2 linked regions of the Macaca fascicularis genome follow. The protein of the gene in region 2 binds, or shares a complex with, the protein of the main gene of each other region. Links are inferred from orthologs where the notes say so. Each region holds a gene or a part of one and is shown on either strand. Other genes may lie near its edges.

Region 1 (4,040 bases), on a different chromosome or scaffold from region 2:
AGGTTTTTTTTCTGGATTTTTTTTGTGTGTTCTAGGGGTTTTGTGGTTTTTTTTTTTCTGTTTTTTATATTTTCTTCTTTTGTTATTGTTCCTCTTTTTGCTTTTTCTCTGCTCTCCATCCCGCGCTGTCCCCGCATTCGGTCCCTCCCCACTTCCCACCCCGACCTCTCTTCCCCCCTCCCCACCCCCTACGCCCTCCCCAACCCCGCGGCACCCATCCAGAATGAACAAGCCCTTGATAGACGGGCGCCGCGCAGGCCCCCTGCGGACTGGGGGCATCCGACAAGGGGGAGGGGGCGGGTAGGGGTCCAGCGCGTCCTCTGCCCCTCTCCTCAACACCCCTCCCCCCTCCCACGACCCTCCCACGAGGTTCCCCGCAGATCCCTGACATGGTGAGGGGAGGGGGCTGCAAGCCCCCTCCCCTCATGGACGGAGCGCCCCCCCCTCTCGGGGGTAGGGGGCAGCAGAGGGGGAATGGGCTTGGGGAAGGAGGGGGAGCTCCCTTCTTTGGCAGCTGAACATGGGGGGGGACCTGAGGGCAATGCCCTCCCCGCTTTACCCACAGCAGGGGAGGGGGCTTCTCAGGGGGAGGGGTGGCTTACAATTGCCAAGCCGCGGGGACAAGGGGAGAGAGGAAGCGTGCGGGAAGGAACAGCCATGCTGGAAGGAGAGGGAGCTTCTTGGAGTGGGCAGGTTAGGAGAGGGGCATCTTCGTGCAAAAGGGATGGACAGATGGCCCAGGAAGGACAGGCAAGAGAAGAGGGAGGCTGAGGGCTGGAGGCAGGGTCAGGCTTGAGTGTGGAAGCATGGTGAGCGGGAAGCCAGTGTGCATAGGGTCTTCTCTCACCAGGAAGAGAAAGAGCTTAAGGAGGTAAGAGAATCCGAATGAGAATGGCCGCAAGAGCTGCTTGTCAACAGGAAAAAACAAATAAAGGTGTCAGGAAGAGAAATGTTACAGCCCAAGAGCGCATGGAATGAGATGAGTTTGCAAAAGGAAAGAAGTGGTAGAGCTCTCATTCAGGTAGAAAAGACAAGATGCGGTGTGCAGCCATGTCATGGAGTGCAAGAACATTATTAAAGGGGGAGAAACAAGGCTTCCAGAGAGCACTGAAAATGCGGGGGCGGGGGGCGGGGGCGCATGTGCAAAAGCAAGTGTGCGAGAGGGTTCACAAAAGAATCAAAAATGCAGAGGGGCAAAGATTTCAAACAGAAAGGGGCAAGGGAGTGGGAGCCTGGCAAAGAAGAAGAGAATGAGCATTTGTGAGAGAAACACAGTTCCTGGGAGGCAAGTGTGCAAAAGGTGTGACCAAAAGTGACGGTGCAAAAGGGGCAAGAGGGAAGAGGGGGGAGGGGTGGAGGGCTAGGAGTGTCACGGTGAGAGGGGAGAGGTGGGGAGTGGAAGAATCTGGGGTTTTTAAGAATAAGAAGGGAAAGTGCTTCAACGTAAGAAAATGGAGGTAAGAGTGTGTCAGGAAGGGTGCATAAGATAGCAAGTGTGCAAGGGCTGAGCAAAGAGCAGGGCACTCCAGAGAATGAATGATGTGCATGGAGTCCGTGAGTGGGGGAGGGAAAATGTGTCCCAAGTGTGTCTGCAACAAGGGTCCAGAGCGAGCGGGGAGGAGGAGATGTGAAATGGAGTGTGTAAAGGAGGGCCCTGGTAGGGGAAAAGTGTGTAAGCAGCGAGAATCAGAGCAGGAGGCATGGAGCATGAGAAAGGAAATGCAGCGTGTGCGAGGAGAACAGAGTGTGTTTGAACGGGCCTCGCCAGCCGGAAGCAAAGGCAGAATGTGCAAGACAGCGAGAGGGCAAATTTGTGCAAAATTGCAGCCCAGGGAGGGGAGGGGAGAGAGGTGAGCAGGCGTGCAACAGAGCGTGCAAGAAGCTGAGGGGGGCAGCTGTGTGTGCTGGGGAGAGGGGAAGGGGGAAGAGCTGAGGGGTCTGGAGAGAGTGGGAAGGGTGGTTAGAGGGGCGGCAGGTGGTGGAATCTGAGGGCACCCCCTTCCCCTGCGGCCTGGGGGACAGTCCCCATCCAATCAGGCTCAGGGCTGACCCTCTATGGCTCTGTCTGTCCCCTCCCCCCAGAATAGGCCCTTCCCTCCTTCTCAGTCCCCCTCGGTAATTTCTCCTATCCCCCCTCCGCTCCCCGCTTCACACACACACAGTCTTGTGTCAGCTGCCCCCCTTCAGTGAGGTGCAAATGTCCGGCCTGGATTGGGCCACCTAGTGACCTCTGGCCTTGGGAGACGAGGGCAGGGCGCAGTTTGAACAGAGTCCCTGGCCCAGGGGAGAGAATGACAGTCAGGGGTCAGAGGTCAAGAGGCCAGCAGGCTCAAGAGTTCTGTGGACGGGGCTGGTCCGTCCAGGCCAGCCATCACCTCTCCAGGAAGAATTTGAGAGCCCGGTCGATGTTCATGCGGTGGCCCACCCTGGTCACACCTAGATCTACATAGTCCTCCTTGGTCAAGGCGGGCAGGTGGGAGCCATCGATCTCATGGTCCAGGAACTGGGCTCGGTGCTCCCCCAAACCCAGCCACTCTAGCCAATCAGCCACGTCGAACTTGGTCCAGAACCCCAGAGGTTTAGCGCCAAACGGCTTGTCCGGGGGCAGCGAGAGCAGGCGGGTCGGTGAGAGGGAGCGCGAGGCCCCTGACAAGGCTCCCCCGAGCCCTCCGGATATCCCCGGGTGTGGCGGCACAAAGACTGGGGCGAAGGGGTCAGCTGAGCCTCCTGCCCCTCCAGTTGGGGAGCCACGGATGTCAAAGAGGCCTGGGTAGAGGGGTCCAGAAGGCAGGATGGGCAGGGAGGAGGGCCTGGGCGCAGGGCTGACCTTGTGCTCCGAGGCGGGCAGCAGCGAGGGGCTGGGGGCCCGGCGGAGCAGAGGGGGCCGCATCTCGAACTCCACGCCCTGGAGGTGGCGGGTGGACGTGGAGGAGGAGGAGGCCGAGGGTGAGGTGGCCCCTGGGGCCGCAGCGGCTGTAGGGGAGACCCCTGTTCCGGTGGGGAGCGGTGGCAGAGGTGGTTTGGGCCAGTTCTGAAACAGGCTGCTGACAGGCTTGGAGAGGAGCGAGGACTGGGAGTCGTCGGAGAGTCTGGAATGTGACAAGGGGGCAGTGGGGGAGGACAGGGATTTAGGGGGCAAGGGCAGGGGTGAGAAAGAGGCAGAGGTCAAGATATAGGGAGAGAGGAGGAGAGACATAAGGGTAGGGGGAGAAATGGAGGAGAGAGACGGGAAGAAATGGAGGGAGCAAAGGGTAATATGGCCGTCGAGGAAAGAAATGAAGGGAGAGAAAGATGAGAGGACAGGGAGAGGGCGACAGTTAAGAGAGATGAAAGAAAAAGAGACATTAAGTGATAATAATAATAATCGTCACCGCTCACTGATGCTCACGTGTGCCAGGCATTGTTCTAAGTGCTTTACATGATTGCATCTCAATCCCCACGACAGCCCTGATGCAGGTTACTATTATTATCAGCACAGAGAGGTTAAATAACTTGCCTAAGGACACACAGGAAGTGGCAGAGCCCGGTTATATGGCACCAAAGTCTGAGCTCTTCACCACTATTCTATACTGCCTTTCAGGTTATGGCCAGTCATAGCAGAGTGAAAGATGGGGAGACAGTGAGAGAGAGACAAAAAGAGGGTGAGCATCCAGGGGAGAGAGATGGAAGGGACAGGGGACACAGAGAGAGAGAGATGAAGAGAGGGAGATGAAAGAGAGAAGAAACAAGGGGAGAAAAAGGTTCCCCTCATCCCTTTTGTTCCCTCTCCTCCAGCACTGTCCCACCTCAGGGCCTTTGAACTGGCCGCTCCCCCTGCCTGGCTCACTCTTGCCCCGGGCAGCTGCTTCCTCTCCACTTCCATTACTCTGCCCATCTTGTCTGTTACATGAGAGACCTTCTCCAACCATCCCATTGTGGTAGCTTTTTTTATTTTTTTTTTTTTTAAGGATGGTTGCAATTATTTTGTTTACTGCCCCGCCCCCACTCTTATGTCCCCAGACTATGGGGTTGCACAGTCTTTGCCTGTTCTGTCCAGCAGG
Region 2 (4,040 bases):
CATTTATTTTCGTTTTCTTAAATGAAGCATAATAAACAGTTAAAATTCTCAGAAAAATCATCTATAGTTTAGTGTAAAACTCCCCTAAATTAGTCTTCTAAGGCCACGCTGAGCAAAAGCAGCTTCCCACCCAAGCACCTCTGAATTGTGCGTGAGGAGGCACAATTCAGGGTTGTTTCTCGAGAACACTCATTGGAAAACAATTCACTACTGCACAAAGAGGGCCAAATATTTTCAGAGAAATATCAAGCAAGCGTTTGCATTTTTATCCCAATATTGATCAGGTTTTAAAGCACGTGATCACTTGCTGACAGCTCAGCCACGGGATGCCACGCCTGGAGTCTGGAAGGAGAAGAAGCGCCAGGTCCTTACGGTATGAGACGGCACCGAATGAGGCTTTATGGTGGGGTTTCCCACAGATGTGACCTTCGTTTGCTTCTGTAGGTGGTCCACCCATTCCTGCAGATCCTGCTGGTTGTTGCATGACACTAATATCCGCTCGATCATGCTCCCTAGAGGAGAGAAGGAAAAAATAGGCCGAGTGGAAACACAGGTAAAAAGCGCGTGCATGCACACACAGCCCCCAGAATTCCACTCAACGCTTAAACACCACCTTCTGAAATATGCAAGCAAGAATCTGCACGCGGGGACAAGCTGCCTCTCCTCCCCGAGACACGGCACTCACACAGCTTGTGCCTATCACCTGATATTTCAAATGCATTTCTATGGTTTTCACTGTCCTCAAGCTTTGTGATTGTCATTCCTGTCGTTGGAAGCTTTCCCTAAAAAAGACCCCCCCACAAAAAAAAAACAATTAGTGCTTTTCTAGAAAAAGGTACCATTATTAAAGTAATATTAAATGATTTTAGAATTGGTGGAGGAACTGTGTTTGTGAACCAAAAAGAGTTCGTTTGTAGCAGATGCATGTATAATACAAAAATCTTTATCTCAAATAATAAATCATATTAATACTATACTGTAAGCAAGAAACTCAACTGGCGACAAGGGACAGACTGACAAGCCCAAACACACACTGCATCTGATGAGCTGCTACTAAACAGACACCAGGACAAAAAATCTCACATTATGATTTTTTAAAAACTACCACGTGTAACAGTTGTTTTAAACGATGTTTTTGCAGAAAAGCAGCATGTATTTGCCTCATAAAGAAATACAGAGGAAGCTCCAAGTTTAAAGTCAAAATAAGGGTGGGAAATTGAGGCAAGAACAAGAATTGCCTAACATTCTACTTTATAATCCACCAAACAGAAAATAAGTAGTTGTGCTAAATGCTGCACACAATGCAGAAAATGGTTGGCAAACCAATGCTCCCTGAAAATGGAAGAAATCAGTAACTGCAACAGGAAATGTCAATGGAAAAGATACCAGAAACGGGGTACAAAGTGATCATTACAAACAAATCAGAAGTGAACACAAAACAGTCTGGCGCAGCTGACAGAAACTACAGTACACGGTGGCCCACCAAGTCCTCAGGAAGAGGCAGTGGCATCTGGGTCGTGCTGCCTGGGGAGCACTCCATCAGCTGCGGAGCGAGATTCTGCATGAGCACCTCCAGTGGGAGTGCTGCTCAACGGGTGTGGGGAACGTGCCCCCACAGAGAATGGGTGGCAGTGCCACAACCTGGCAGGGGCTCAGACATCCAGCAAGTAAGGGCCAGAGAGGCTGCCTATACCCCACAGTACCCAGGACAGTCTCACTGAGCCCTCAGCCCCGGGCCATGAATGATCCAGTCCAAAACGTCAGCAGTGCCCAGGTGGAGAAATCTCATCCTAAAGCACGGCAGGTGGAAGAGGAGACTGCTGGACACTTCTGTGGCCAAGCGTATTTTAAAAATGCTACACACTGTGAACTCCTTTCCAAGATTCACAATGCATGTAAGTACTTTAACAGCTGTGAGTGCTACAGAAAATGAAACTGCACAACTGTGTTTAACCTAGCCCACCGGAACATCGGTGTACAGAGCACTGTGGCTGTGGCTGGATCGAACACTTTTTAGCATCCCCCAAAGCCAGTGTTCCAATGGTAGAAATGAAGACTGACGATACAGAGACCATGGCTCACCACTGTACTAAGAACTGAAAAATAGAATCCTGTCGTTGAGATGAGCCCCAGCAGTCTGTCAGCACGTCAAGGGTAAAGCCAGTGTGAGCCCCAGTCCCACAGGCAGAGACTCAAGCCTGCCACGAGTGGCAACCTCTTCTCCCTTAGGCTAGAGAAGGCTCCTGTCTCCAGCCACTGGAATGAGACTCTGGGGATATAAAATAGGAAGCCAGATAGTGCTGACCAGAAAGGACAGAGATTTAGGTTTATCAAGGTCATTTAACAAAGAAGTAGCTGCTAGTTTATTGGAAAACTCTAGTGGGCACCACCTTAGCCACAGATCACCTCTCTTCAGCAGTGGCCTTACAAACTACAGCCTTATTTTCCTGAGTCTTTTCCTATATATGTGATTCATCAATTCTAAAGCACCCGTTTTAGAGTAAGCGTATGACGACAAGTCCTCTCTGGGTGGTCGACAAAGCCTCTGTGAAGGCACAGTGTCTGCTTAGGGCTCTCTAACGCCCTTGCTGGGACGACACAAAACAACACATGCTACAATGAAACGCAACCCAGGGAACACGAAGTGGTGGCTTCTGCTGCAGTGGTTATGTGGTGACTGGCCAGTCCTCAGAAAGTTGATGGGAAGGATATGAGCCTCTATTACTTCACAGAAAAAAAAGAATGAAACCTGCCAAGTGCATCTACTAGACAGCAAAAATACCAGCTCCTTCACATACCACCACTATAAACCACTGTCATAACAGAGAAGGCCCTGCTCACCCTTGCACCTCCTTCTCAAATCCGCTGTCACATTTTCTCCAAGAAAAGCAGGGAAACAAAAATTAAAAAGGTTCAACAATCACACACTGCTACTTACATACGTACATCACTTTCTATTTGCTGATGCATTTGGGCAGTGCTGTGCCACTGACACAAGACCTTAGTCTACACTACCCCACTAACCCACAAGCCCTAGCTGAACCCATTTCACAGAACAAAACTATAGCAAGGAGCAGCAAGGTATTTTGCATGAAATGACAGAAGGCAATGACAGAGGCTGACTTGTGCCACAGTCATCTGTGTCCTTATGAAGTTGCTCTACATTTACACTTCTTTCCTTTTTTAAAATGAACATAGGATATGCTTGCATAGTCACAGCGAAACATAAACAGGAGCCGTACATCCATATCTGAACATACGGCATTACACACACAGCACATACACAGATACATGTAATATTTAACACAAAATTCAAAGTCAGCTTGAAATTATCCTCAGATCCACAATAAAATATAAATTTAGATGGTGTTTTACCTGATAGATAAAGCCACTCATCCTAGGACTGGCAGACAACATCAGCAAAACATTTGGGAAGAGTAGAAGATATCTTTCATTCTTTTCCTAATACAAAAAAAGAAACCCAAAACATTTCTTAAACAACATCTACTTACAAATGTGAGCACAAATACTTATTTATACTAGACCCTATGAAACATCACATGGTATTTCTCATTTAGGTATTTCTGTCAAGTTTTATCAGGTAAATTAAATGGAAACAATTATGATAAATTCTGTATTAAGTCTTAATATATGATTAAGAGAGAGCTTTGACATATAGGTAAAGAGAAGGATTTCTAAATTCTTCAAAAAACAAAAGGTAAGAAACTAAACTGAATGATTAAAAGATCCTGCAGTCACAATTAGCCTGTGTAACATCTTGAAAATATATCTGGTTAAGGAGTTCAGCTCTGTGATTATTTTCAGGTAAGCTAAAATTTTCTTTTTCTGGTTCAGAGAAAAAGGAGAGAACCTATACATTTTAGTGGGGTGAACAGGTGAAGTCTTTAAGCTAAAGGAAGGATAGGATAAAATGTTAAAATCAATTTCAGTCTACTACTAATTCCTGGCACTTCCCAAACCTCCCAAATGTCAAATCAGTGTTGTTCTCATCCACCCCATAAACATCACCTGGTTTACAT

The links. The genes of interacting proteins can lie anywhere in the genome.
Region 1: the proteins of ARHGEF7 (region 2) and SHANK1 are in contact, whole or in part, in a crystal structure (PDB 3L4F), measured with the Rattus norvegicus proteins. The link is inferred for Macaca fascicularis from reciprocal best matches to the Homo sapiens genes ARHGEF7 and SHANK1. Residues at the interface, in XP_063131056.1 of Rattus norvegicus: Asp735, Ala737, Trp738, Asp739, Glu740, Thr741, Asn742, Leu743; in NP_113939.2 of Rattus norvegicus: Gly673, Phe674, Gly675, Phe676, Val677, Leu678, Arg679, Gly680, Ala681, Lys682, Phe696, Glu703, His735, Arg736, Val739, Ile742.

The regions. Positions count from the first base shown.
Region 1 is NC_088393.1:58,575,227-58,579,266, forward strand, and holds part of SHANK1 (SH3 and multiple ankyrin repeat domains protein 1), read right to left. Parts: intron 3,574-4,040; coding exon of another isoform or gene 3,528-3,573; exon of another isoform or gene 3,497-3,527; intron 3,090-3,496; coding exon 2,372-3,089; 3' UTR 1-2,371. UniProt on the Homo sapiens protein: Seems to be an adapter protein in the postsynaptic density (PSD) of excitatory synapses that interconnects receptors of the postsynaptic membrane including NMDA-type and metabotropic glutamate receptors via complexes with GKAP/PSD-95 and Homer, respectively, and the actin-based cytoskeleton.
Region 2 is NC_088391.1:101,799,918-101,803,957, reverse strand, and holds part of ARHGEF7 (rho guanine nucleotide exchange factor 7), read right to left. Parts: intron 3,463-4,040; coding exon 3,376-3,462; intron 783-3,375; coding exon 614-782; intron 513-613; coding exon 373-512; intron 1-372. UniProt on the Homo sapiens protein: Acts as a RAC1 guanine nucleotide exchange factor (GEF) and can induce membrane ruffling. Functions in cell migration, attachment and cell spreading. Promotes targeting of RAC1 to focal adhesions. May function as a positive regulator of apoptosis.